Linked DNA regions of Diceros bicornis minor. The protein of the gene in region 2 interacts with the protein of the main gene of each other region in a pairwise test. Links are inferred from orthologs where the notes say so. Each region holds a gene or a part of one and is shown on either strand. Other genes may lie near its edges.

The links.
Region 1: the proteins of SGTA (region 2) and SPPL2A interact in binary tests that used the Homo sapiens proteins (3 or more experiments, as listed by UniProt). The two-hybrid records come from large-scale screens. The link is inferred for Diceros bicornis minor from reciprocal best matches to the Homo sapiens genes SGTA and SPPL2A.
Region 3: the proteins of SGTA (region 2) and TNFRSF13B interact in binary tests that used the Homo sapiens proteins (3 or more experiments, as listed by UniProt). The two-hybrid records come from large-scale screens. The link is inferred for Diceros bicornis minor from reciprocal best matches to the Homo sapiens genes SGTA and TNFRSF13B.
Region 4: the proteins of SGTA (region 2) and LAT interact in binary tests that used the Homo sapiens proteins (3 or more experiments, as listed by UniProt). The two-hybrid records come from large-scale screens. The link is inferred for Diceros bicornis minor from reciprocal best matches to the Homo sapiens genes SGTA and LAT.

The regions. Positions count from the first base shown.
Region 1 is NC_080744.1:46,950,528-46,957,853, reverse strand, and holds the start of SPPL2A (signal peptide peptidase-like 2A), read left to right. Parts: upstream 1-4,323; 5' UTR 4,324-4,404; coding exon 4,405-4,470; intron 4,471-7,326. UniProt on the Homo sapiens protein: Intramembrane-cleaving aspartic protease (I-CLiP) that cleaves type II membrane signal peptides in the hydrophobic plane of the membrane. Functions in FASLG, ITM2B and TNF processing.
Region 2 is NW_026691553.1:1,949,852-1,956,865, reverse strand, and holds the start of SGTA (small glutamine-rich tetratricopeptide repeat-containing protein alpha), read left to right. Parts: upstream 1-4,004; 5' UTR 4,005-4,062; intron 4,063-4,107; exon of another isoform or gene 4,108-4,145; intron 4,146-7,014. Other genes in the region: THOP1 (thimet oligopeptidase), read right to left, coding at 2,112-2,127. UniProt on the Homo sapiens protein: Co-chaperone that binds misfolded and hydrophobic patches-containing client proteins in the cytosol. Mediates their targeting to the endoplasmic reticulum but also regulates their sorting to the proteasome when targeting fails.
Region 3 is NC_080757.1:466,372-473,438, reverse strand, and holds the start of TNFRSF13B (tumor necrosis factor receptor superfamily member 13B), read left to right. Parts: upstream 1-4,066; 5' UTR 4,067-4,083; coding exon 4,084-4,144; intron 4,145-7,067. UniProt on the Homo sapiens protein: Receptor for TNFSF13/APRIL and TNFSF13B/TALL1/BAFF/BLYS that binds both ligands with similar high affinity. Mediates calcineurin-dependent activation of NF-AT, as well as activation of NF-kappa-B and AP-1.
Region 4 is NC_080765.1:22,226,348-22,233,768, reverse strand, and holds the start of LAT (linker for activation of T-cells family member 1), read right to left. Parts: upstream 3,007-7,421; 5' UTR 2,711-3,006; exon of another isoform or gene 2,417-2,710; coding exon 2,314-2,416; intron 2,130-2,313; coding exon 2,102-2,129; intron 1,990-2,101; coding exon 1,955-1,989; intron 1,702-1,954; coding exon 1,614-1,701; intron 1,483-1,613; coding exon 1,418-1,482; intron 1,329-1,417; coding exon 1,151-1,328; intron 1,079-1,150; coding exon 984-1,078; intron 1-983. Other genes in the region: SPNS1 (protein spinster homolog 1), read right to left, coding at 3,530-3,624, 3,892-4,063, 4,387-4,485, 4,746-4,811, 5,135-5,324, 5,651-5,806, 6,110-6,255, 7,056-7,122 and 1 more. UniProt on the Homo sapiens protein: Required for TCR (T-cell antigen receptor)- and pre-TCR-mediated signaling, both in mature T-cells and during their development.

The DNA.
Region 1 (7,326 bases), on a different chromosome or scaffold from region 2:
TAGGCGTTAGCTGCATCCCACAACTTTTGATAAGTCATGTTTGCATTTCCCTTCAATTCAAAATATTTTCTTAATTCCCTGTGATTTCTTCTTTGGTCCATAGGTTATTTAGAAATGTGTGTTTAGTTTCTAATTATTTGAGGATCTTCAAGGTATCTTTCTGTTATTGATTTCTAATTTAATTCTGTTGTGGTCAAAGAACATACTTTGTGTGATTTGAAATCTTTAAATTTATTGAGACTTGTTTTATGGCCAAATAGTTTATTTTGGGAAAGGTCCCGTGTAGCCTTGAAAATAATATGTATTAAGCAGTTGTTGGGTGGAGTGTCTATAAATGCCAGCCAGGTCAAGTTGGTTGATAGTGTTGATCAAGTCTTCTGTATCCTTACTGATTTTCTACCTACATGTTCTTTCAATTATTGAGAGAGAAGTGTTGAAATCTTTAACTATAATTTTAGATTTGTCTATTTTTTCTTTCAGTTTGATTAATGTTGGAGCATAGGGTTTCTTTTCTTTTATTTTAACTTTGCAGATGATTCTAATATGCAGCCAGAGTTAAAGAATATTGCTCTAAACCAATAGTTCTCAAACTTCAGCATGCATCAGAATTGCTTAGGGGGCTTATTATTAAAATACGGATTTCTGGGCCCTACTCCCAGAGTTTCTGATTCAGTAGATCTGGAGGAATTTGCATTTCTCACAGCTCCAAGGTGATGTTGATACCGCTGCTTCAGAGGCCACACTTTAAGAATCACTGACTAAGCCAAAGTATCTTAACATTGGTTGCATATTAGAATCACCTGAAGAGCTTTAAAAATTATGATACATAGGCTACATCCAGACCAACTAAATTTAGGATCTGCTTGGGGAAAGGAGGAGTAGAGCAACCCAGGCATCGGTATCCTTTAAAGCTCTCTCTCTCTCGCTCTCTTTTTTTTTTTTTTTGTGAGGAAGATCAGCCCTTAGCTAACATCCATGCTAATCCTCCTCTTTTTGCTGAGGAAGACCGGCACTGAGCTAACATCTATTGCCAATCCTCTTCCTTTTTTTCCCCCTCCAAAGCCCCAGTAGATAGTTGTATGTCATAGTTGCACAACCCTCTAGTTGCTTATGTGGGACGCGGCCTCAGCATGGCCGGAGAAGCGGTGCGCGCCCGGGAGCCGAACCGGGCTGCCAGTAGCAGAGCACGCACTTAACTGCTAAGCCACTGGGCCAGCCCTAAAGCTCTCTTATGTGATATAAAAAACAGTCAAGATAGAGAATCACTGCTCTATACTAAAGTAATTATCCGGATTGCCCAAGAAAGTCTTTGCGGCTTGTTACCAACACTTCATCAGTGTCCCCTGAGTGAAAAACACTGTGCTGTTCCAGCAAACAGGTCGTATGAATGACCTAGTGCCCTGGGGCAGGAGATTGGGTTTCAGCTCCTCCTCTTCCACAGTCAACCTAGCAGTTTCCTTTTTCGCAAAATGGAGCCAATGTCTCCTACCCGCTTCCTAGAATATAGAAAGCTTCTGACAACCAATAACATTCTATCTTTTGTCATTGGGAAAACATTCCATTAACTATCTATACTTAGAAATTAAAATGATCCTTAATTTAATGATACTTATTTTCCATAATTGGGTTTTTATGCATAGCGTTTTAGAGAAGAAAAATATTGACTAAGAATTATCTAGGTACACTTTATCCTACCTAATACTTGCAGGGAAATTCACGTGTTACAGGTATACTCCAAAGAACCTTTAACGGCAGTCACAGCAGCAAAGTTATTAAACCAGAATCTTTTAATCTTCCATTAACCCTCCCATCTTCCTTCACTTCATCCTGCACAGGGGCTGTGACGAAGGAGAAATCTTCTGGCAGGAGAATTATCACAAACAGTGCTGACACTTTGGACAACAGCCATAACACAGTCTTGTACTTGTCTTCTCCTTCTCCTTCTCTGCCTCTCCTCCTCCTTTTTTTTCCTTTTTTTAATTTTCGGAGTAATTTTACTCAAATTACAAATCATGTAATTTTTACAATCATCATGTGAGGTAGGCAGAATAGGTATTACTGTCCACATTTTTCAGCTGAAAACTAAAGCAGGCAAAGAGAGATTGCACAAGGAACTAGCCTATAATACAGGTTCTTTGGTTCCAGGTACAAAATTTTCTCCAACTGAGGGGAAGGAAAAATGGGCACAAATGTAGACAGGAAAAACCAGAGAACTTCCGACAGCCTCAGGAGCCACCTTGGAGATCACTAGGCACAGGGCCACTATGAGCAGAAGGGAATATTCAGAGATGAAGTCATCTAGTTCATCACAGACATTTTACAAAAGAGGAACCTGGCTTGCACTGGGCAGCTAGAAAGTGTGAAAAGAGTAGGATTGACAGGCAGAAGACCTGAGTTCTGGCTTCACTGTGCCACTAAACTTTGGACCAACCCACTTAGCCATCAACCTACAGACATTTGCCTTTGGATATCCCACAAGCATTTCAAACTCATGTCCAAAACTATGTCTCCTCCCTCACCCATGCCCCCTTCATCTTCTGTGATGATCACCTCAAAAATTGGCCCAGGGCAGGATTCTGAAAATCATCCCTCTCCTTCATCTCCCATGTCTCTCTCTGTTACCAAATTCTGCTATAAGTCTTGCAGATTCATCTCCTCCTCCCCATTTCTTCCGCCACTGTCTCAGTTCAGGCCCTCACTATGCCTGGCCTGATTAGGTTACTACAGTTGTCTAACAGATCTCCTGGCTTCCACTCTCGCCCTGTTTCAATACATCTGCCGCCCCACCCGCCACCACAGAGAGTTTTCGGAAACAGAAATCGTCTGTCACTGCTCTACTTATTATTCATTTGCTCTTCACCACCAACTGGATGAAGCTAAGATCCCAAGCAGGATGTCCCAATCTATTTGTGGTCTGGCCTCTGCCTTTTTCTCGCACTTCATCTTTCACTGCTAGTAACCTCAGCCAAGCCCAAGTTTTGCAGTTCCTCCAATGTCACCTTTGGCTTTGACACTAATAGTTCAGTCTTCCTGGAAGTCTCCTCCTTCTCCTGTCCATTGCCTGGTTAAAATTAACTCACCCTTCTAGACTCAGCTTAGGTTGGAATTTTTCCTGGCACTTCTTTTATATATCCTTTTGATACTCCCATAGCATCTTGTGCAAACAAAAGAGTCACTATTCACCCTGCACTGTGTTTGCTCACACATCTGTGTCCCTCACTAAACTCAGCTGTGGAATGGCAAGGACAGCATCCTATTCAGGGTTTGGTATTGAATAGTCAACAAATATTTGAGGACCTACTTTATGCCAAATGTTATAGGTCTATTAAGGGCCATAGCAGTGAAAAAAGCAAAGACACTCCTTGCTTTCAAGTGGGAGGTGACATAAATAAATAAATGAACAGATAAGTAACCAAGAGAATATGCAAGTGAAAAGTGCTATGCGGAAAATTAAAATAAATCTCGTGATACGAAAGTGACCGCGTGGCTACTTTAGATTGGGTATGTCAGGATGTTCCCTCTGGGAACTGACATTTAAGCTGATAAGTGAATGCCAACGAGCCAGGTATTCAGAGAGCACAGCATTCCAGCAGAGAGGGCTACCAGTACAAAGGACAGAAGAACCAAAGGTGGCTCTTGTGGCTTAAAGCAAGCGTGGGAAAGTCAAGATGGGGTCAGAGAAGAAGGCAGGAGTTGTATTATGTAAACTTTGTGGGCCAGAGTAGAGTTTTGATTTTGTTCTAAGTGTGATGGGGAGTGATATGATCTGATTTATATCTTTAAAAAGATCTCTCTGAGACTGCTGTGTGTATAAAGGGCTGTTGGGAGTGGAAACAGATCAGTTTGGAGGAGAAAGACGTCAGTGGCCAGGATTGGGTGGTCGCAGCGGTTTTGGAGAAAGTGGACGGCTTTCGGATACATGTGTGAGCGTGGCCAGGCCCCGCTAGGGAGCCGATGAATTAAGCACGTGGATTTTGGCCCGAGCACCTGAGTAGTTACTGGGGAACAGAGCAGGCGCTCTGCGACTTGCAGGAGGAGGAAGAGGGCCTTGAAAAAGTCCCTTCGCCTCCGCGGACTCCGGACTCCGGGGAGAGTCAGGTCAGGCAGCTGGAGAGAGCCACGCCCAGCCGCGCAGCTGGCGGCCTGCCAGCGCCGCGACGCCGAGAGGGCCGGCGGGCGGCGCGCGCGGCCCCGGGACTCCACGTGCCCGGCGCGGGGGTTTCCGCGTCCTCGGGCGGGGCCGGAAGAGGAAGTCGGCGCTGCGGTGGCGGCCCCAGCTGCAGCGGCGGGCCCGGCCAAGCCCCGCCGCCCGCCCCTGTCCGCCGGCCGCGGAGACAGCGACGCGGCGGGACCCGAGCCTGCCCCCGCTGAGTCGCGCCGCGCCGCCGGGCACCCGCCAGTCCGATGGGGCCGCCGCGGCCGCTGCCCCCCGCCGCGGCCGCGCTGCTCTGGGGCTTCCTGCTCCCGCTGGTAAGGGGGGCGGGCGGCGGGCGGGCCTCCCCGGGGCGGGGCCGGGCCGGGACTCCCTTCCCCTTCTCCCCACCCCTGGGCGGCTGCCCGGCCTCCCCTCTGCCCGCGCCGGTGCCGCCTGCTCGTGCCTCTCCCTTTCCTCCCCCCCTTCCCATTGCTCCCTTTCCTTCCAGCCCCCTCTTGTTCACCCTTTCCTCCAGCCTTCCTGCCCTCCACCCCCATTCCCGTCCTTTGAAGTCCCCGAAGCTCCTACCCCCAAGAAAGCTCTCTGCGGAGCCCCGCAGGCTACGTTGACCTTGGTTCTTCTCTCTAGTTTTTCACTGTTCCGGGCATTTTTAATTGACCTCTGAGTTTTAGCGTCTAGACTTCCCTGCAGCTTCTTAACCTCTTTTCTTCTCAGGAAGAAGAAAAAAAAATTATACATGGCCCCAGGGTGTTGAGCGGTTCAAGGACTGTGCTTTCATTTAATTGCTCTAATATAGTTTTTCTTTTTCTTCTTCTACCTCCTCTGTAGTTCCTGCTTGGCCTTAGGGCTCATTGGATTCCATTCTGGGGGGTTTTGGTAATCGTAGTGACTTAAAATAATTTTTAAAAGAACACAACAAAGTGTAATGCCTTTAGTGGTTTTCAGTTCTCTGCCTGGTTTAAAGGGGAGGGGAGTCGGTTAAGTAACAAATATGTGTTCACAGGTTTGTTTTTTTCATAATTACGGAAAAGTAATGATGTTTTAAAATTCTGCATCAAGCAACTGAGTTTCACTGGGTGGTCAGGACGCCAGTGTTCAGTGTTTGTTTCTTGTAAATTTCACTTAGGGAGTTTCAAGTTGGAAACTTTTATAAGCTTTATTTATATAGAATTGGTATGGTGTATGCTGTCTAATTCTTTCCATTAGAATGTGTAACTTCTCTGAAGGAGTATGTTTTCCATGCTCTCCAGTTTAGAGGATTACTCTTTGTGAATATATTCAATATAAAAGTGTCTTGAACATTTATTAAGAAACCAAAAATCAAAGCCTAAAATGGTTAAGTGCCTGTGGTATGTTAGTAACTTTGCTAGGCAACATTAGGAACATGAATGAGATAATGTATCTAAAAATTGCTTCAGCGCCTGGAGTGTGTGTGGGTGATACAATATAAAGAGAATAACAAAGTAGCAGTGTTAGTCTGAATCTTTGAGGTGTTTACCATGTAATCAGATATGTCTGAAAGATAATTCAGATAGTATGTAAATACACATAAAACTATATGCTAGATATAAAACTTGTGTGATGTTTTTGCACTCATTTTCATTTGAACCTCTTAAACTAATTGCAAGAATATATCTTCTATATCACATTCCTATTAATCTTTTCTCAACACAAATTCATAATTAACCTAATAATAATTGCTCATAAACTCACATTGAAATTCTTATCAATAGCTCTGAACCCCCTCACTAGAAAAATGTAAGCAGAATTTTCATATAACTTCAAGGGCTTCACAAATCTAAAGGTCATCCCTGTTCTGAATTGTAGCTAGCCTCTGTCTCTCACATTCTAGATTTTATTCTTTTTATATCCCACCATTTGTTGTATGTCACTGTGTTAATCTTGGGTTCTGTACTCCTCAGTCCCAGAGTTGTTGGGGACTCAGTAACATTCTTTTGCTCCACAAATATTTAGTGTGCATCTGTTATATGCCAGGCACTGGGCTGGTGACTATGAGTAAACTGACAGGATCTTTTTTCAATTGTAAAGCTCTTTTTCAGTGCCAACCATTATTATTGATTTTCTATTTCTTATTAATTTCTCAGTGAGTTTGTTTTCTTCTTGACCTTTCCTTCCTTGAATTTCGTGAAATGATCTCTTTCTCATTCCTTTCCTTTTCTGAGGAACGCAAATAAATCTGGTATCATTTTCCTCAGCAGGAGCTTGCTCTCTCCTTCCTTCTGCTTACTTGCTGGATAGCTAGTTCTTTTCCTCCACGACTATCTGGAGAGTTTTTGTTTGTTTATTTTTTACCATTTTCTCCCTGAAGCCCTTGTTGTTCTCTTCCCTAGTCTTACAGCTCCAGGTGGCCTCTCTGAATTCATTTGAATGAATGATGCCAGCTGAATCATTTCATGTCTCCTTTCTGGGCTCTTGAAGCTGGCATTGCTGGGCCTTTTTCGCCTTAGTCATGTAAGAACAGGGCCAACATCCTCATCTAGAAGCAGCACATAATCTCCAGAAACCACTACCACATCCTTGAAGAAGAGAGGATTTCTTATTAGAAAGGGCCTTCAACATCCTGTAGCCTGCCCTCCTCAACTTGTTGTCTTTACATCAGAGTGACCTCACTGTGTATACTGAACTCAAGCTACAGCATGCCTGGCTGTTTTACTGTTTTCTAAACGCATCAAACATTTAAGTCTAGAAATAAAAAAATTCTCACTTGCCTCTGTCCTATTCCGTTTCTCACTCGTCCTTCCCCAGTCCAACCCCCACCGCTAGCCCCAACCTGTTTGACCTTTATTTCACAGTGTTGTTGGGACCCAGTCACGGAGTTCTTTTTTTTTTTTATAATTTTATTTTTATTTATTTTTTCCTCCAAAGCCCCAGTAGATAGTTGTATGCCATAGCTGCACATCCTTCCAGTCGCTGTACATGGGACACGGCCTCAGCATGGCCGGAGAAGCGGCGCGTCGGTGCGCGCCCGGGATCTGAACCCGGGCCGCCAGCAGCGGAGCGCTTGCACTTAACCGCTAAGCCACGGTGTCGGCCCATGGAGTTCTGTTTCAAAGAGAATGAGTGAAGTTTAGCCTGGATCTGTTTTCTAAAATTGCTTCAAAGTTCTCTGAAGAGTTCTGAGTGTTTCTCATAATGTTTTTACAAAGTTC
Region 2 (7,014 bases):
AGCAGGGCAGAGGTAGGGTTCACACCACAGTCTAACCTCAGCCCCTCCGCTGTGCACTAGTGTTGCACTCACAACCACCTTGGCAAATCTGCACAACTGGTCTTCCTGCCCCATTTCTGGGGCTCCACGCTGCACTAAAGATCAAAGTTCAAACCCTTATCAGAGTCCACACCAGAGGCTGGCAAATCTGCTTTACCACGAGGTAAAGATTTCACATGGCACTGAGATGGTGTGTGGCTCGGCCAGTCTAAACCACTTGGCCCTTTACAAACTGGTTTGCTGACCCCTGGTCCACATCACCCAGACTCTCCTGGCTCCAGCACGGTGGCTTTGGCCAACTTCTCTGTGCCCAGTCACACCAGCTTTCTTCAAGAAGTCTCCCAGGCCGTCCCGAAGGTCGCCCCCTCTGCCCTGCATCCCCATCCCACCAGTCTTCCTTTTCACAGCCCTGTCTGCGTGAGGCCTCCATGGCATTCCTGGAGCACCTGTGGGTCTCGAATGGCCACACCTGTCCCGAATTCCTTTTTGAGTTAAGGAACAGAGGCCTGCGGGTTCCCCAGCTGGATGTGGAATGTGGAGTAAGTACTTCTCCCGGAGAGTGGAGTGGAAAATGGCTTCTCCAGGAAACACGAACCTGGGCCTCATTCTCCCCTTCTGGCATGGCAGGAGCTGGGCAGGGCCACAGTGGTCCCGGACTCCCCGTTTGTGAACACCAGGGTGGGGAGGTCTTTGCAAGGTGCTGCTGGCTCAGATCTACACTTGGTGTCTCTAGGGCAGGGTTTTTAGCAGTGTCGTTAACATTTGTGGCTAGATCATCCTCTCTGGGGGGCTGTCCTGGGCTCTGTTGGGGGCTGAGCAGCATCCCTGGCCCCCACCCCCTCAATGCCAGGAGCACCCCCAGTGTGACAACCACAGATGTCCCCAGACATCGCCCAGTGTCCCCTGGAGGGGCACAATCACCCCAGGTGAGGAACTCTGATCTAAACTAAGTGGGAAAAAGAAAGACTCAACTCAGTACAGGTCAGATTTTCTGGCCAAATGATTTTGCTGCAAACTTAGGGCAAGTCTTTCTGTTTAGAGTATTTTGGATTTCAGAACTGCAGAAAAAGGACTGTGGGTCTATATTAAATTTGATGGCAAAGACAGGCTGCAGGGGCTCAGGTGAGAGATCAGTGTAAGCTGGAATTATCAAAAAAAAAAAAAAAAAGCCTCCTGGAAGAACTAGGATGTCAAACACTTGAGCGGCCGCAATTATTCTGTAGTCTTTATTGATTGCAACCTATGGGCCAGGTCTCCAAGCTCACAATCCCGCAGCAAACAAGGCTGACAACATTCCTGCCTTCCTGAGGCCTGATGACCCTCATTCTGATGATCATCTTTAATACAATTATCATCATCATCATGGCAATGGGATGGAGAAAGAACTGGGGGAGGAGAGGCGGGCAACAGAAAATTCCAGGAGGCAGCTCACAACCTGGGCGATTTTCTAAAGAAAATGAAAACCCTCCCACTGCGTCCCTTTGCCCTTAAAAGACCACGGACCGCCAGGTGTGTTCCAGCCAGAATGATTGGGTGCTGTCCAAACGCTCACCCGTCTTGCTGTCTCCCCGTCGCCTTTGCCCTCGCCGTTCCCGCCACCTGGGACGCTCCTCCCCCAGGTCTTAGCGGCACAGCTGCTTCTAAGCTGAAATGCCACCACTTCTCAGAAGCCCTCCCTGACCGCCCTCTCCAAGGAAGCGCCACCAGCCACGGCACCGACCACTCTCTACAGCCCTTGCTTGCTTCTTTACTTATTGAACATGTCTCCGGCTCTGGAACGCCGTCCAGAACTTTCGGTCTCCCCCAGAGTCCACCCCGGGGCCAGACCCGTCCTTAGCAGAAGCGACCCGGAGTTTGCTGAATGAATGAAGCGCTAGAACAGCTGCTTCCTTCATTCGGCCACCGAGGGGGCGGGTTCCTGGGGTGGCCCAATCCCCCCCCACTCCCGGGCCCTGGTCACTCGAGGGTCACCAGGGTCCGCTCTTGGGCCCAGGTCGCGCCCCCGGGAGGCGCAAGGGTGCAGCGGCGCCCGGGTCCGGGGAACGGGGTTCACACCAAGGGGCGGCCACTACCTGCGGGGGACTTCATGGCGGGCGGTTGTGCACTGGCGGCGCCTCTCTCCACCTGGTCGGCCTCCGGCCGCTGCAGCCAACCAACCCGCTGCACTCAGCGGCCGCCGCGGACTAGACTGAGGTGCCCGCCGGCCGCGCGCCCACTGCATGCTGGGAGGGCGCGTGCGCTGGGGGACAGGGCGCACGCGCACCCCAGCTCCGCCTACAACCGGAAGGGACGGCCCAGGGAGCTGACGCGCTCTGCGCACGCGCCGGGACGCTCCCTGCCCACTATTGGCTTTCAGCCGCTAGAGGGCGGAGCCATCGGGAGGCAAGGGAGGGACGTTTCCATGGAAACATACACAAAAACACACGCACGCAGGCAGGCGCGCGCGCGCACGCACGCACGCGCACGCACGCGCGCACACACGCACACACACGCGCGCGCGCGCGCACACACACACACACACACACACGACACACAGCTGGCACCTGAGACTGAAAATTTTTGGCTCTTTCTGTCAGTACTCTGCCCGGGCTTCTAGCTCCTGCTTTAATTTGTACTTGCATCCTTTCTACCTTATGATTGTGTATTTGGCTAGTTTTGCAACTTTTCAGAAGTTTTTTGTAGATTATCCCATTACCAGCACCCTGCCCAGCTTCCAGGGTCTAATAAATAGAGAAGGTGCGCCACATATGTCAACTCAGTCTGGTTAATCAATTAAATTAAACACAGTTAAAAAAAAAAAGAAACATAGGCAATTGAATATCATGGAGAAAGCTTCAGTAAATGGATCCAGGACTTTAAATAACAGGTGTTTTGGAAAAGTGCAGTAGGCTGATCTATATCTAGTGTTGTCAGTTACAACAAAGTCTTGAGCCGTCTAAGGCACCTGGAAAAAAATATTTTACTAGGATTAAACTGACCAAAAAACCCATCTCCTTTATTTCTGCAAGAGAAATTAAAATAATCCAGAGCGTTAACCGTGCATGCTTTTTAAATAGGATAAAAATGAATTGGGAGAACACTTCTGGCAAATTTAACACTAATGGTAGTCCGTTCTGAGTCATTCTAGGGAATTTCTCATCACTCACCCTCCATTAAGCACACCGAGCTTGATCCTACTTACTCTTCGCTTTCGCTGTTCTCTGCACCTGGAGAGTTTTTTCCCTCGTCCTCCAAATCCACCTCTGAATGAGAGGTCCTCCTTAACCATCCAGCCATCTACCTCCCCAGTCACAATCACGACACCTCATTCTTTCTTCTTAGCGCTTGCCGTTAAGTGAAATTTGTTAATGTATGTACTAGCTTACTAGTTTATAGTCTGCCTACCCCAATACAAGGTAACAAGAGCAGATACTTGGCTGGTTTTTGTCATTGGTTTGCAACAAATATTTGTTGAATGAATATTAGGGACCTGATGTAAACAAATATTTCTGTATTCCTTTACGTCTTGTGGATCGAATGAATAAAAGAATGCATTTGTGGGTGAGTGGGTGGATGGGTGGGTGAATAAATGAACAAAGATGGTGAGCTGATTAACAGTCGCTCCCATTCACAGAGCGCCTGTGATGCTCTCTGGGCGCCAGATGTTCAGACGCAGCTGCACCACGTGGCCTGCTCAGCACCACGTGGCCTGCTCAGCACCACGTGGCCGGCTCAGCCGGCCGGCAGAAGTCCGCCACTGTCCCACCATGCACCGCTCCATTCCCGCTCCAGAGGACGAGTCAGTCCTGATTTCCGGCCTCCTGTCGGTCGCAGAGGTCAGTTGCCCTAACGACCAGCTCGTCCCGCCTCCAAATTACGTCACTTCCCCCCGCGCCCACCGCGCTAATCGACGCGCCTGCGCAGAAGGAAAGCCAACGGGAGCTAGCCCCTACCGCGCAGGCGTCGCGGCCGGGGGGCGGGGCCGGGCGGCACCGCGGTGCGCAGGCGCAGCCGTCGGTGGGTCGGGGTTCGGCCGCCTGAGAGGTGAGTGGGCGTTCGGTGCCGAGCCGGACGGGCCGGGGTTCCGCGGTTCGGGACTCCCGGGGCTCCGGGGCCCGTCAGAGGAGGTCGGTACGTGGTTGGGGTCGCTGCGATCCGCGGGATGCTGTGAATGGGCGGCGCTGAGGGGAAACTGAGGCCGGGCGGCGTCGGGCGGGCCCTCGGCGGCCCAGGTCCCCGTCCGCCGGACCCCAGGCGCGGGAAACGCTGGTTCGCAGGCCCGCAGGGGGACGGCGGGAGGTAAAAGCGCCCCGCACGTCGTGAGCGCGCGCTGGCTGTCCGCTGCTGCCCGGACACACGGCCCCTTTGAATCGGGGAGTCCCGTTCGTGGGGCGCAGGTCGAGACCCCTGTCCCAGCGCCGCCACTTTCCACCTGGCTGAGCTTGGCCGGCCCCCTGGTTTCTCCGGGCCTCAGTTTCCCACTCTGTAAAACGGGCGTCGTCACGGTCCCTGCCTCGGGCGGTGCTTGGGGGGATTAGAGCCGCAGGACCCAGCAGAAGTGCGAGCTCAAAGCGGGGTCTGCAGTTATGTCTCATCTCACCCTTAGGGTCTTCTGCGTATTGTGCCAGACGTGGGAGAAATCCGGGGCTGGGGACCAGCTCCACCACCTCTCGCTGGCTGTGTGAGCTTGGGCGAGTCGCCTCCCCTCTCCGAGCAGCACTTTGCTTCTACAGTAGGGGCAGTAGAAGTATCTGGCTCCTAGGGTCATTGTGAGGTTAAAAACACGTAGAACATTGCTTTAATCAGGTTCCTGGTGCTTGTAGGGCATGGCTGGTTTTGTTATTAGGCGCCAGAAGATGTGAGTGTGCTCTGCATCTTTTAAAACGACTGATGTTTCTGTTTCTTCTGTTTCTGTAACTGATTATTTGTTTTGTCTGCTTTTCCGCTCCCCAGCCAGGGGTTTTAGCCCCCCAGGGGACACTGGATGATGTCTGGGGACATTTGTGGTTTTCAGGGGGCCGGGGGGCTCCTGGCATCGAGTGGCTGGGGGCCAGGGATGCTGCTCAAAACCCCACAGTGCCCAGGGTGGCCCCCCACAGAGAAGGACCCGGCCCCACTGTCCACAGTGCCGAAGTGAAACCCTACCCTAGACTAGCGATTGTTTACCAGCAAGGGCTCCGCGGGGTTGGGGGGTATTATGTGCAAGGTTTTGTGTGTGCACCCATTTTTGGGGGTGAGAAAAGGGTACTTTGGAGTTTAGGTCTGGAATCAGACTGCCTGGGTTCCAAACTGCTGATTTGTGTCTCAGCCGGGTGAACTTGGGTGGTGCCCCCATCTTGCTGAGGATGGGGATTAGATTAAACAACCTGGGTTCTCAGCAAACTGTGGTCGGGGCGCAGATCCAGCTGCAGCCTGTTTTTGTAAACCAAGTGTGGGAACCCAGCTGCCCCTCCGTCGCGTACCCGCTAAACTGCGGCTGCTTTTGCACTACAAGAGCAGAGTCCAGACGTTGCCACAGAGACCCTGTGGCCTGTGAAGCTGAAGGCACTTACTCTGCCGCTTGTCAGAAAATGTTTGCTGACCCCTGCAATAAGCCATTGCATGTACAGCAGTCAGCTGGGGGCCTAGAAATTTCTCAGCATTCCACGGATTTCACCAGAGGTGTATAATTCAGTCTTCCTGGAAGGGTGAGTGACTCGGAGTGGGTTAAGCTCTGCCCCAGATTGAGAGCTGTCCTTTTACTTGATCCTACATTTTTTTGCCAAGACCCAGCACTGGCCTCGGCGGGAAACGCTCAGAGAGGGTTGGAGGAATAAAGGGAATTGTTGGTAGGTCAGCAAAACATAAGGTTTGTTATCTCTGCTGCTGATGAGGAAACCAGAACCAAAGAGAAACGGCCTCCCCGAGGAACTTGGTCACGTGGCTCTGACTTTGACGAGGACCTAACATTTTCCCGAGTCCATACAGGTCAGACGCCCCCAAGTGCTGGCGCTCAGAGGGAAGATGATCTGTCTAAGGGCTCACAGTCCAGTGGGGGGAGACAGGCCAGGAAAGAGTTGGGAAGCCTTGTAGGAGATGCTGGACCAGAAGCAGGACTGATACTTGGGCTTTGCTGGAAAAAGAGGGTGTCCAGCTCTGGCCGAGGAGGTGACCATGCAGCTGGGCGTCGGAGGGAGAATAAGATTCCTGGATGAGTCGGAGGGAAAACGAGCAGGTGAGTTTGAGTGGGGCATAGAGGGTTTGGTGAGGGGCCTCGTGTGCACACTCGTGAAGTTTCAGGAGGCTGTCAAGGGGTCTTAAGTGTGCCGGGCATCCTGGTGGCATTTTAGAACCTGAGCTGGAACCTGAGCTCCAGCTGTCGGGACTGCCCTTTCTGGGGGACCCGTGGTGTCCTAGGACTGGGGAGAGGAGCAGAGCACCCGCCTGTACACGCTGGTTTATGAGAAGAGCTGTGGGTTCAGGGGTGGACAGTCCTTCAGAAAGAGGATCCTTCTCCTTCTTGGGGTGTGGGGAGGCCAGTCACTCATTTTAGTAAGTTGTGCCATTTTTTCCCTTTGAGTGATCAGTTCTGGGCAGGGAAATAGAAAGAATAGAGGCTGATCTTTTTTTAGTTTAATGATAAAATGAAAAGGTGGACTGAGAGGTGGAAGGGGGTCTGAAGACCACCAGAGGAGCTGGCACCGGGCCCCCCGCCACTCCCGGGGGCCCGCGTCCGTCCACCCTCCCCAGGCTCCCTCCTGCACCCTGCGCCTCTAGACCAGCGCCCCGCTGGTGCCTTCCGAGAACTCATAAAGCCCTCACTGTTCGGGGAGAGAGGACGCCTTCTCTGAGAATTTTGTCCAGCGGCCAGAGCCCTACAAGTTGTGATTGTTCACAAGACGCTGGGTGCCTAGGAGCCGTCGAGGAAAAGCGCCATCCTCGTGCTCTGTGGGGCCGGGCTTGGCGAAGAGGAGAAAGTTCGTTCGTCTCAAAGCTGGGGCTGCACTAAGATTTGCA
Region 3 (7,067 bases), on a different chromosome or scaffold from region 2:
ATAATAAAAAGTTTTGAGGGGAAAATTTTAAAATAGAAAAAGAAACTAGGTCTTCCCACAAAAGATTGGGTGCTTTTATTGTAAAGAAATCAGTGTTTGCTTCTTTGGTGGGTTTTGCTCAAGTAACAGTATCTAGCCTTTCTGAGAAATTAGTACAAATCGAAGGAACAGGTATATTAGCAAAGTAGGAAATTCAGCACATCTGAGTCGTGTATGTAAATTGCAATCATGAAAATCAGGGCTTTCGCTGCATTTCTAAGAAATGTCCTTTTTTGGGTACTCTTGCTTTTATCTTACCTCTAAGACTCTTTAGAGAAGGTTCAACGGCGTGGCCTCAAAGGGGCCAGCGGGGGTGGCAGACACGAGGGCGGGATGAGACGAACACCCGCCGCCTCAAAGACCCTCCCAGCCCTGGAGTGGGCGAGGGGCCCTGCAGTCACAGCATCGCACACGCGGGCAAGGAAATACTGACCAACACGGCAGCGTTCCCTCTGACAGAGTGACTCCCCCTGAGGAATTCCAGCCATTCCGTGAGTCACGGAGAAGATAAAACAGACATTAATGAGCACATGCCAAGTGTTTAAGAATAGCGCCTGGCACACAGTGAGGGGTTCGGAAATGCTCGCTCCTGTTATTATTCCTAGCGAGCATTCTAAGAGCTCATTTAAAAAGGTAAGGACTGATTGATAGGATATATTAAGGGAGAAAAGGAGCGTGTTAACAGTGTGTTTAATCTGGATAAGCCAGCAATTACGTAAAAAAAAGCGTGTGGGGGGAAATGGGGCAAAATCTGTCCTGTAGTGACCCACACTCGCACGAAGGCCTGGGCCCTAGTGGAAGGCTGTGGGAACAGACGTGCTGGCGGCTACTGCCTCTGAGGAGGGGAGTCTGGAGTATCTAGATTGGGGCGAAATTTGCTTTTTGCTATATTCTCTTTCACACTGTTTGAATGTTTCTTTACCACGTGCTCATTTCAACAGTTTAAATACACGTATATGAATGAACCAGTTCCCAAACCTTGAGGTATACAATGTGTCTTTGCTCTGGGTTCCAAAACTCTGCTGTCGCCTTGACTGTGGAGCTTAAAATTAGAACTCCGCACCCCCAAGGAGACAAGTCAGAAGGGCTGGTTTCAGAATGAGGTTTGGAAGGTTCAGAATGAGGTTCGGAAACCTCCACCACCTGCGCTGAGGCAGCCCAGAGTGCTGGGGGCGGGGCTGGGGGGTGTTGTCGTGGGTCGTGGCCTAGACCGAGCATGCCCAACGATAGCAATTCCCTGCAACCGTGCGGCCCTGGGGGGAGGGGTCACGTGTGCTCTGGTCTGTGCAGTCCTGTTTCAGCTTCGTGGCCATCCATGTGATGGATCAGGAGAAAATGAGACTCGCAGACGTCAAACAACTTCCCCCCAAGATCCCCACAGCTTTGTTCTGCCTGCTTTAATCCCACCTAACACGGAGTGAAACTAGACACCGCGGATGACCCCATCTTCTGTTCCCATTCATCCCACTCATGCTGGCACAGGCAAGCGATTGCATGGGGAGAGAGGTCAGAACAGTGGCTATTCTGGGATGGGGGTACTGCCTGGAGGGGGAGGGAGGGAGCCTTCTGTGGGGGCTGAAAGTGTTCTAAGTCTTAATGTGGGTGGTGCTGCCTGGATATGCGCATATGTAAACATTCATTGACCTTCCACAGGACATGCATGCATTTCATCATATGTAAACGACGCCTCTAACTAAAGAAATAGAAACTAAATGAAATCCATTGTCTGTAAACTGTTTGAGAAAAGCATTAACAAGCTGTGATCAGCAATGGGACATCAGGGAACCCCACCATGCAGTTCTCAGCCACCCCAAAAGTCAAGTGGGATTTTGTGGGCTTGTCTTTCAGTTTCCGCCTAACCTATGCTGGCTGTAAAACTCCAGAGTGCTGTCTCACTGACCAAGACCATGCATGTGGCTCCAGAGAGCGGCAACCTGTCCAGAGGTTGCGTTTCTGGAAGGCACAGTGTTCAATAGATGGAGACAAGCTGTCCAGTGGTCAGAGCTCACCCCCTGGGAGCCAACCGCTTTGTGAGGTGGTGAGAGCCTCGGCCCTGGGAGTGTGCAAATCGAAGGCAAGGAGGGGATGCAGTGAGGGCATCCAGCAGTGACTCTGGGCTTGCCCCATTTCAACAGGCAGAACGTTCCTGGCAACAGAATCTATGGTTGCCTCTGGCTCACGCGTCTACCCCACCAGCCCAGCCGTGGGTTTGCTACATTTCATTGACACAAGTAATATGTGGTATCTTCTCCATGTGAAAGTTAAAACAGTATGAATAGGGCTAAAGTCCCCTTTGACCATCACCGCCAACCCTGCTCCCTTCTCGCCCCCCGCCCCCTGGATGCAGCCACTGTCATCATGCACAGCCCTTCAGACTCGCGTCACATTCACACGTACGCGATCGTGGACAATATAGTGGCCTTGTGTGCGTGTGTGTGTGTGTGTGTGTGTGATCTGCTTGTTTGTGTTTTACTAAAAGGCATCTTACTGTAAGTATCATCCTATAAACTATGTTCTTTCCACTCAACGATCTGTCTTGACAATCTTTCCACGTCACTGCTTACAGATCTGCCTCATTCTTTTCAGGCGACGCGTAGTGTTCCTGGTTACGGCCTGTGTACCTTATTTATTCAGCCATCTCTATTGGGTGGGCATTCGCGTCGTTCCAGTTGCTCACTGTTATTGACTATGCTTCAGCGAACATCCCTGTGCCTCTGCGGCACAGAAAGAATTTCTGGGTCCTGGGTTAGGCATATGTTCCACATTTACTTGACGCTGCCAGGTTGCCCTCTGAAATGGCGGTACCCTCCTCCAGCAGGGCGTGAGTTCACATTTCCGCAGATCCCCTCCAGTCCTCGACACCATCAACTTTAAGACTTTGCCAACTTGCTGGATGAAAATCAGTTTTTCATGGTTAAGTCGTACTTTTCTGCTTATTGGTGAGATTAAGCATTTTTTAGGGTTACGAGCCATTTGCATTTTCTCTCCTGTTCTGCTCACCATCATCTAAATTGGCCTTTGTTCCCCGCACCGCTCCCCCCTGCCCTGACCGCTGCCTGGAAGGCCTATCTCCTTCCCTCCACCCGCCTGATTCCTTCTCAGCCCTCAAAGGTCCCTTCCTGAGTGCCGTGGGCTTCCTGTGACTTCTAAGTGCGTCCCACTCCAGCTTAAGCCGCGGGCTCCTCATGCTCACGGAGGTTTCAGAGGAGCTGGGAAGACAAGAGTGTGAAGAGGGCTACAGCACTAATTTCCATATCATTTAGTGAGAACCTGCTCTGTGCCAAGAACTTGCTCTACAAATTCCACTGTGTTAACTCACTTCATTCTCATAACAACCTGTGAGACAGGGACTGTTATTATATCCATTTTACAGAAGAGGAAATGGAGGTCCAGAGAAGCTAAGTAAACTGCCGCCAAGGCTTCCTGCTGCTAAGTGGGCGAGCTGAGACTCAAACCCAGGCTTTAGTGTCAGCCTCTTGGAGTGCTTTGAAGGGAGGAAGGACAGAGCTTAGGAAGCACAGAGAATGGGCACCTAACCTGGCCTGGGGCAGTCAGGGATGGCTTCCCAGAGGAGGTGACACCTCAGCTGAGCCTGAAGAAGGAATAAGAGGAGATGACCGGGCAATGAAACAAGCAATAGTTGTCCGGGACGAAGGAAGGGCCTGAGCAATGCTCGGAAGCTGGAGAGCTGTTTCCCGGGCCTGAGCCTGGCGTGTCCGCGGTGGGGCAGGAGACCAGGTCCCGGTGGGAGGTCAGGGCCAGATCTGGGCCATGCCAGGGTTGGTAGCCCATGCCGGGGCGGGGTCGGGCCTTCCCCTGCTCTGCCCGGGTGAGCAGCGTGCGGGGGGCTCAGCAGACAGCGCCCGACGGGACTCCTGGGGCGCCGGGCCGCGTCCACCCCCAGCAGCTCCCGAGACAGCGCGCAGGCGCGGGGGTGAGGGGTGGGGGTGCCGCTGATTTACATCCTACAGCTTGGGGGGAAAACCCAGGAAGTGCAGCAGGGGCACTAATCAAATCTGAGGCTAATAATAAACGTCCTGAGTAATGAGGGGCCCGGGCCAGAGCAGGAGAGGTGGCCGGAGCCGGGCGGGCCCGGAGGAGCGGCGTGAGTAGCCGGGGAGGCGCGGGTGGTTGGGAGGGCTCGGCGCCGCCTGGGCTCCGTGGGGTCGGTGGGCGCGACGCCCACAGCAGATGGGCAAGCTGGGGCGGTCCGGGGCCTCCCCAAGCCCCCGCCCGTGGAGAGCCCAGGTCTGGGGACTCCGGGGTCTGTGCCTTGCAGTCCAGGATGGGAGCCCCGAGGCCAGATGGTCAGCCACCGGGGCAGGAATTCCCTCTGAGACCCCTACCACAAGCTGGCCAGAGGGCCCGGAGCCAGATTCACCAGGACTTTTTGTGTGTGTGTGAGGAAGACCAGCCCTGAGCTCACATCCATGCCAATCCTCCTCTTTTTTGCTGAGGAAGACTGGCCCTGGGCTAACATCCGTGCCCATCTTCCTCCACTTTATATGGGTCGCTGCCACAGCATGGCCTGACAAGAGGTGCGTGGGTGCGCGCCTGGAATCCAAACCTGTGAACCCTCGGGCTGCCAAAGCGGAGCACGGGCACTTAACCACTGCACCACCGGGCCGGCCCCCACCAGGGTATTTTAAAAATATTTTATTTTGAAGTTGACACTTAGGCAAGAGTAGAGAGGAGAGTTTACAAACCCTCCTGGTGGGTCACCCGCTTCACATTTATCAATATGTGACCAACTCTGGTCACCCACGCCCCCCATCCCGGCTCCGGCCCCCTGGAGCATTTTAAAGCTAATTCCGAACATCGTGTTGTTTGATTTGGGGACACCTCAGGATTTATCTCTTAAAAACTCTTTAAAAAACAAAAACCAAAAAACTAACCATGATGTGGTGACCACTTCTGAGAACCATGATCCCTCAGTCTCTCCCCACTATCGGCCGGTCAGTGTTCAGACTTCCCGATGGTCTCAGCTGTGCCTTTTCCTGTTGATTTGTGCAAACCGGGATCAAACACAGCCCACGTCAGCCTTTGGCCCTATGTTTTAATCTAGCACCGTTCCCATTTTTTCCCTGCTGTTTATTTGTTGAAGAAGCTGGATCATGCGTCAGGGCAGCTTTTAAAGGTTTGCTCGAAAGCAGAAACCTGGAAGCGTAGGTCGCTAAAGCGGATAAAAGGGGCCAGGTCCTCCCTGTGCAGATGGGACCCGGGGCCGGATCTGAGCGGGTATCAGGGCCCACAGTGGCACAGCCTATTCTCTCCCCCACGCATCAGGTAGGGAGCCTGTCTTTTCTCTGTTCCGTTTTGTGTTGTGACCACATCCCCAGACGTGTCCTCAGCTAAGGGCTCAAATGTATAAAATTTCTGAGAGAGTTGGACCAGGGAGGGACCAGAGGTCGCCTTGATACAGGATGAAGCTGCCTGGGCCCCCAGGACCAACCGTGAGTCGGGATGGGTCAGAGCTGTGACCTGGCACTGATGGAGGCTACCTCATGCCGAGGACTCAGCCCTGGCCGGGAGTCAGGAGTTCTAGCTTCTGCTGCTCACGGACTTGCTGTGTGACCTTGGATGAGCCGCTTCACCTCTCTGGGCTCCCTTTCCTCAGCTGTAAAAAGAAGAAGAGCCTCTGTTCCACCAGATGTCCCTCAAAAACACAGAAGGGCTTTGTACCTGCCAGAGCCCCTCTTGAAGAGTCACAAGCAGTGGTTCTGAGAAGGGCTGCCGTTAAAAAAACACACTTTGACTTTCTTTAACCCAGCATTTTTCAAACTAATTTGACCCCAGAGGTCTTTCTTGGTGCAGCACCTATTAACAAGCCAAGCACGTGAGGAAGCATGGGCAGTGGGCTCCAGGAATCGTCCCTCCTGGCTGCTCTCCAGTCTCAGGGTGCACGGGAGCTGGGCTGGGAGCCGGGGCCACAGACCAGGCGTGCGGGACTCCTTCCCTTCTTCCCCGTGTGTCAACAGAGCTTCTTTCCCAAGCTTCTGTTCTGCCTGGCCGGTGTCAGTCCTGGGGTTTTTCTGCCCTCTTTGGGGCTGACGATGACTCTGGCATTTTCCGTAGGTCCAGGCAGTGGTAGAGGAGGGGGAGCAGGGACGGCACCCTCTGGCCACTTGGGCACTGTCTCTCGGTCAGGTCCAGCGGCGTGGTGGCTTCCCGGCCACGTGTCTTGAAAGCTCTCTCAGGCGCCCTTGTCGGATCTGACCCACTATCCACCCAACCATCACCTCACAGGGGGTTGGGTGGGAAGCAGTCTCTCCCTCTTTTCTCCCCAAATGAGGGAAGGGTCAAGGGTCTCTTTTTAATTTTGTTTGATTTGTTTGTTTTTTAAATTGCTTTTTGAATATGTAGTATAGTCACATGGTTGGAAGCTCAGAAAGTATAAAAAGGTATATAACAGAAAGCCTGCCTCCCCTCCCTGTCCTCTGTCTGCCCGGTTCCTGCCTCCCCTAGAATAAATAGCTTTATTGAGATATAATTTATATGCCATAAAGTTCACCCATTTAAAGTGTACAATTCAGTGTTTTTTAGTGTATTTACAGAGTTGTGCAACCATCACTATAATCTAATTTTAGAAGATTTTCATCCCCAAAGAGAAGCCTTGTCCCTCCTCATCCTCCCCACCCCCAGCCTTAGGCGACCACTAATCCACTTTCTGTCTCTATAGATTTGCCTATTTTGCACGTTTTGTAGAAATGGAGTGTGGTGTTTTGTGACTGGCTTCTCTCACTTAGCGTAATATTTTTGAAGTTCATCCATGTTGTAGCACGTATCAGTACTTAATTCCTTTTTATGGCCAAATAATATTCCATTTTATGGATATACCACATTTTATTTATCCATTCATCAGTTGATGGATATTTGGGTTGTTTCTACTTTTTTGTCTATTATGAATAACGCTGCTATGAACATTTGTGTACAAATATTGGGTGGACATGTTTTCATTTCTCTGGGGAGTGGAATTGCTGGGTCATATGGTAATTCTGTGTTTAACATTTCAAGGAACTGCCAAAGTG
Region 4 (7,421 bases), on a different chromosome or scaffold from region 2:
GGGCAAGTAACAGCACCCACCTCGTGGGGTGTTTTGAGGATTATGGCAGTGAATGCTAAAACGGGGCCTGTCATACAGTAAGCGCTGCCATTGTACAGACGTGACAAGGGAGGCCAGGAGGGGAAGGGGCAGGCACAGCAGCACCTGGGCATTGTGAGGTTTAATAAGTCAACACATGGAAAACTCTTAGTAGGGCATGTGGTAGGCCCTCAACAAACATCAGCTCTTTTATCATGACTCTACCTCACGAGCTGTTGTATCAGAGGCACACAGTGAATACGATGAATGAATGAGTGAGTGAACGAATGAATGAATGAATGAAAAGAAGCACTTGGACAAGTGATCTGGAGCTCAGGAGAGAGGCACTGGGAATCTGTATGGCAAATGAAGCCAGGATGTAGAAGGGGTGGCCCAGAGTGAGTACAGAGAGAGAGGAGAGTAACAGAACCCTGAAGACCACCAGACATTGAGGAAAGCCTCTCACAGGCAGGATGAGACCAAAGTGAAGGGGGAACAGCAGCTCCAAGGAAACCAAAGCAATGCAGGAAGCAGAAGAACACTTCCAAAACAACTGCCCCCGGCAAAATGTATAATCAATACCCTTAGAAATGTACAAAATGATATTGCCTCCATGAAACAAGAACAGGAGGCTATGAAAAAGGAACAGTCAGAGATCAACAAAGAACTTTCAGATAGAAGAGAGAACATAAAAGAGCAGAATCAAGGAACGGAGTCAAAAGAAGAAGAAAGTCAAGGAAATCTCGCCAACAATAAAAGGAAAAGATAAAAAGATAGGAAAGAGAAGAGAAAAAGTAAGAAAATGAGATCGGAGCAGGAAGTCCACTCTCTGAAGAACAGGAGTTCTAGAAAGAGAGAGGAGAGAAAATGGAGGGTAGCAAGCATCAAAGAAATAACAGGAGAAGGAGAAGGGGAGGGGCCCCAGCACGGAGGGGCCAGGGAGGGGTCAGAAATGGCCGACTCACTGGAGAAGGCGCTGTCTCGGAGGCCGGGGTTTTTGGACGCAGGAGGTGGCGGGACGGCGGTGCCGGTGGCTGGGACAGTGTCAGGAAGCACCACTCTGTAAGGAAGTCAAGGGGTGTGTGAGCACGGACTCCCGGCCGCAGCCCCCACCTCCCGCCGGGCAACTCACAAGTAGCCCTCGTTGTGATAGTCTTCCTCATCCTCATCTTCATCCGCGTCCTCACAGGCTGGCTCTGGGGTAACGACACGGGGGTCGGCAAAGCCTGGGGCAGGCCTTAGCCTTCCCCTAGCCACGGCACCTGGGGTTCCAGAAGCACCCTCGTTCTCATAGCTCGCCACACTGTTGGCTGCAGAGAGAGAGTGAGGGAGACTGAGTCAGCTCAGGCGGGGCCTAGCCTATGTACAGCCCCAGCCCCCCAGGCCGCTCCACGCTTACCACCATCTGAGCCTTGCCGGGAAGATGGCATGCGGTGGGAGCCCCCGGGGGGCTGTGGGGATCTCCTGGGAGTCAAAGGTCAGAGGTTATGCTGGAGTGGGGCTCTGGGACAAGAGGGGTAACAACAGGGAAAGAGGCCCCAATCCAAGGAGGTGAGGGGTAAAGAGGAGACTCTGGAGAGGAACGGGCTACTTACGGGATGGGGAGCAGGTCTGGCTGGCTCAGGGGTGGGAAGGAGGTAACAGGCGGGTAGGAAGCGGCCGGTGGCCATGGGGCGAGCGTGGCTGAGGACACAGGACCAAGCTGAAGGAATGACTCCAACCTCATGCCCCTACCATCCTCGAGGCCTCAAAGGGCAGGCTAACCCCTGACACCCCTGGACAGGCCTGAGGCCACCCATCTCCCTCCCCATCCCCAGCTCAGGTCAAGGCCATGTGGACGCCACAGTGGGGGGTAACCTGAACAAAGGCACACGCTCTCTCACACCCCCGGGGACCCTCTCCCCTACTCGAGGGAGGAGACACCCCGTGTACTCACGAGGCCGTTTGATCACGATGCTGCTCGGGGTCAAGCTGGCAGGAAACACACAGCTAGGGGAAGGGCCGGGAGAGGCCCAGCCAGCCCCCCAGCCCAGCCCCGCATGAGTATTGAGGGAGACAGACACACGGTCGGGGGGCGACTCACCTATCAGAGGCAGCACTGTCATATGAGCCTGGAAAAGAGAGACAGGAAAAGGGGGTGACAAGGGGAAACGGTGATGGAGGCCGGGGCTCTCCGTATCTCCGTGTGCAGGACAGAGTTAGGGACAGTTAAAGACGGAGCAAGGGGTTGGGGGCAGGGTGAGGAGCCCTGTCAGTGTGTCCGAGCACCTGGCCACCTCGCCACCTCGCGCTCACCTGGCAGCTCTCGGCAGCGCACACACAGTGCCATCAGCAACACGGCCAAGAGAGGCAGCAGCAGGGGTCCCAGCACGGAGGGGATCAGGATGGCCGCCTCCATCTGCAGAAGAGAGCCTGGACCAGGCCTGGCTGTTCGCCGCACGCCCCTCAGGGGCAGAGCTGCAGCAGGGCGAGGACTGGGCCAGCAAGGTGCCGGGACCAGTGGGCACCAGGCAGGAGCCAGGTGGGGACAGCTGTGCCCTCCTTGGGGGCCCTGGATCCCCTCCTCTCACTGGACTGAGTGGGGGTCAGCGCTGGCTCTGGAAGACCCTTGATCCCCAGGCGGTCAGGCCAGGGCCTTGACTGGAGTCTGAGGCACCAGCCACCCTGCGCAGACCCTGCACCCCAGTCCTACCTGCCCCTCAGCTTGGCGCCCGCCTCTCCTCCTCGCCCGCCCGCCTGCGGCAGGAAGCTGTGGTGAGCGCCGGGTGAGGGCAGGAAATCATCGGGCTCCTCAGCCGGCTGCACCCGCCCCCTTCCCACCCCCACCCAGACAGTGGGGAGGGGGAGGAGGCCCGATGAGCCACCCCAGGCCCTCAAGAAGGCTCTGCCGGCCTCCAGGACAAGAGGCAACTATACCAGTGGCAGGAGGGAAGCCTGGCAGGCCAGCAGCCGCAGCCTTCAGCCGCGGCTCGAGGAGGCAGCAGGGAGGGAGGTTCTGACACCAGGAATCCCCGAGGGGCACAGGGCAGTGCCCACACCCCCTCCCCCTGGCCAGCCTGCCAAGAGGGGCGGGCTCTGGGGGAAACGTGGGCGTGACTCACCATCACACTGAGCCAGCTCACTCCACCCTCTCATTCACCCAGCCCCAAAGGGCAGGGATTTGCCCAAGGCCCCACAGGAGTGACCCAACAGCCCCCAGGGGGTCCTGGGGCTGCAGACATGGCATCCCCTGCAGTCCAGAGGTCAGAGATCGCTAGCACCGAGAGAGACTCAGCAGGCATTTGGGGTCTGGCTATAAATTTTATTTAGGTACAAATAGCACCGAGCCCCTCGGGCGGCTCCAGTGGAGGGGGACCCCATTCCCGGACCCCCCTGCCCCCTGCTTGGCTGCCTGTGTAGTGTCTAGGAGCTGGAACATGGCCCAAGGTCCCTCCCAGAAGCTGGGCCAGGCTGTGGGTTTGGGCCCGGGCACCTCCTGGGGTAGGTGTGCAGGTGGGCGAGCAACAACCCCTCAGATGAGCACACTGGACACGGGGACCCGGGTGGGGCGGCCTCGCTGGGGCACCACGATACGGTCATCTGCGGGCCCTGTCTCATGCAGCAGACCTGCCGGGAAGGGGTCAGAGCCAGGGCTGGAGGCAAAGATAGACACAAAGCCAGGGAGGGGACCGACAGGCAGCGGGCAATGGACTGGGCAGCAGAGCCACCAGGGCTGTGGACACAGGGGCATCAGCTTGTTGGACAGGCAGAGCTGAAGCCACATGAGGGGAGGGCTGTGGACTGAGGGATGACAGACACACAGGACCGAGCACACGGACGGATGGACAAGCAGGGCAAGGAGCTGTGGATGGACAGAGGGAAGGCGCAACTGACCCTGCACGTGCAGGTGGGCTCGCTGGCGGTCGCCCTCAATGAAGAGAGCGGTGCCCAGGAAGGCCGCACCCCCCAGCGCCCCAACGAAGGCGCAGAGCATGAGTGAGAACTGCAAGGCCCGGAACTCAGACAAGAAGGAGGGGGGCCAGCGCCGGCGGAGGCGGTCGGAGATCTGCCGGAGACAGGAGAGGAAGGCCAGGGGACGGGGTCAGGGAGAGAGAGCCCCCGAACTCCAGAGAACAAAGCCTGGAGCCAGGAAGGGCAGGAGGGCTGGTCCGCCAGGCGAGCTCCACGGCCTCACTGTGGGCATCTGCCAGGACAAAACCCTTCCTGACTAGTTGAGGACCCAAGGTGAGGGGGCCTGGCACAGAGGGCACAGACCCTAACTGGGACCTTCCAATGTGGCCCAGGCTCAGGCCAGTGACCACCAGCCGGTGCTAGGAATGCAGGGGCCCCCAACTCCCACCCCAGGCCCGGCCAAGGGGCAGTGCTCACCACGCCAATGAGGTAGGGGCTCCCAGCGTCACCCAACAGGTGGGACAGCACAATCTGGAAGGCCTCGGCGGTGGAGCGTCGTGTGGGGATCACCACGTACTGGGGGGAGGAGGGGCAGGAGGCAGAGGCTGAGGACAAGGCCAAGGCTCAGCCTAGGCTGAGGTCAGAGGTGAACCCTGGCTCAGAGGTGTGACTGGGGGGAAGGCTACAGACCCGTCTGGGGCTGGACTCTGAAGTCAGTCTGGGGCTGGTTTTGAAGATGAGGTCAAGGCCACAATTCAAGGAAAGTGAGGCCTGCTGCCCCCACTCCCTGCTCTCATTAGCCTCTGGGCTAACCCTGGAGCGGCCCGGCTACTCACCAGCAGAATGTCAGCCACAATGGCCCAGTTCATGGATAGCAGTGTCTCTCCGATAAAGATGAAAATCTGGGGGGTGGGGGGGGGTCCTCATCACAAGAAGAGCAAATACATGGAGGGTTTACCAGGTACCAGGCCCATCTGTTAACACATTTAATCCTCACAACAGGTGCTACTATCACTCCCATTTTACAGGTGATGAAACCCAGCACAGAGGTTAAGTACTTGCCCAATGTCACACAGCTGGGAAAGGCTGGAGCTGAGATGCAAAGCTGGGTATTCCTGCTCCAGAGTCGGCTCTGAACTGGCTGGCTGACCCCAGTCCTGCCCCAGTACCCCGTTCCTCCACCCTGTACCCGGAACACCCCCCTTGATACCTCTGGGCTACTCACATAGGTGGCCACGATGCTACCACGGGCACAGGCGAGGGACAGGAAGAGGAAGGGTGCGGAGCCCAGGAGGCCAGCAGCACAGACAAGCGGGTCAGCCCGGGGGTTGGAGCGGCGGAGGCGGCGGCTGACCTCCACGCCCAGGCCCACACCCAGGACGCCAGTCACGCAGGTGATGAGCCCGAAGATGAGGCTGGGGGGAGTGGAGGGGGTGCGGGCTAGACCCTCTGGCTGCAAAGCCCCCTAGCCTCACCCCCACGGCCTGGAGAGGAAGATGGTCCATCCCAGCCACCCTCACAGCCCAGGTCTATCCAGGCACAGCACCCCACAGTTCACTAAGCTCAAAGAGGAAGGCGTCACCCCATCCCTGTTTCCCAGACCAGGACACTGAGACTCGGGGAGAGGAAGTAGCTTTGGGGTTGGGGCTCAAACTCTCCTTGCCTGAGTCTGAATCGCAGACTCTCTCCACTCCATCCCCTGCCGCTTGCAGGCCACCCAGCACAGCCCCAATCTGGGTACCTGTCAGAGGAAGAGCAGGAGTCTCCAGGAAGGCAGGGTGGGGTCTCCCCCAAGACCACACGGGAACGCAGCAAGAAGGCAGGAGCCCAAAGAGCCAGGGAGCCCGTGACGAAGGCCACAGCAGTGAAGCCAAGGGAAGACAGGATGAAACTGGGACTGCAGACAGTTGGGAGGAGAAGTCAGACTCCACTGAGGTGTTGGGGTAGGGGACCTCTGTTCTCCCTTCCTGACTTATTTTAATAAGGTCTGGGCCCCGGGTGAAGGCTGTCCTGGTGCCCAGGATCTGGGCCTGTAATTCAAGCTGCTGCCACAAGGAGGCAGTGGTGACTGAATTCCAGGCCCTGAGGTAGAGCCAGCTGGCATAAGAGAAAACAAAGACCACGCCCACTAAATCTCAAACTAGATGTCAGGCCTCCCTGGGGGGCCTCAGATGTTGGGTGAGAATGGAACTAAACTCACTTTCTTGCCAGAGCCCTCAGATCTGCCCACCATGAGGTGGGGCTCAGGGGCGGTGAGTCTGAGTGGCGCTCCACAGCTCCCCTCGGCGGCTCCCGTACTACTAGGAACAACAGCAGAACAGCCAGCACTCCTAGACCTGGTGTCACCTGGGGGAAGAGTGGGCTTCAGGACAGGCACAGGGAGGGACACACTCAACCTGGGGCTGGGAGAAAGTGAGGGGGTATTAAGGCAACTCAGGCCTCAAGACCTCAAACAGCCAGGTGAGTGCCTGTTCAGGGAAGCTAAACTTACAACTGGGGGGAGGGGCAAATGCCACTAGGGGCCCCGTGTCTGCAAGCCTAGCTGCTCCCTCTTTGGTAACAGTACTCTAATTTTCTTCTAGGAAACCACTCTGCCTTCTCTCAATCCATGTAGTTCAAACAGGGCGGGGCTTGTAATCCAGACTTGGCCAACAAGAGTAGTGTTACCCTCCCCAGCCTCAGTGACTGATTCAGTGGCAGGCATGTGACCCATGTTCATTTAATCAGACACCATGTAGGACTACTGCCCAAGGATCCAGGGTGCTGATGCTTCTAAATAGGAATACAAACATGTGGAGCTTTCCCTTGCTTGAGAATGAAGTTAACACAGAGGAAAGCAGAGCTGAGAAAAGGATGATCAAATTCCTGTGACAGTGGGTGAGTCCTGGATCCAGCTTTACCTGAAGCTCACCCTGGGACTTTCCATTATGAGAGCCAAGAAAGTCCCATTTTGGGGCTTACAGTTTTTCAATGGGCTTCTGTCACCTGCAACCAAGAGTTCTAGCACATGGCTTCATGGTGAGGGCAGCCAGGCTTCCTGAAGGCTTGCAAGAGTGAGACTGCCTCAAAAGAGGGGGTGTCTGAAGGTAGGAAACGGGGATCAGTGAGAATGTTCCTGACCTTCGGCAGGCCGTGACCAGACTCACCCTCAGAGCCCAGTGCCAGTCCCCGGCCACATCCTTCACTTTGGAGCCTGCAATGTAACCCAGACCACTGGGGGAAGGGAGTGGGAGAGGAGAGGAGACAGCTGGTCAGTCGCGTCCCCCACGCCAGGCCCTTCTGCCTCCCCATCAGGCCCAAGGCCCACTCACCTGCCCACTGGGATGGCAAAGTAGAAGACGCTGAGCATCCGACTCCGCTGGTCTGCCACGAAGAGGTCAGCGATGAGAGTGGGCGCGATGGTGGAGTAACTGGCCTCCCCGACCCCCACCAGGCCCCGGGTCAGGAGGAGCAGCCAGAACCGCTGGGGAACAAGACATGGGGGAGGTAGCACCCCACCCTGCAGCCAGCCT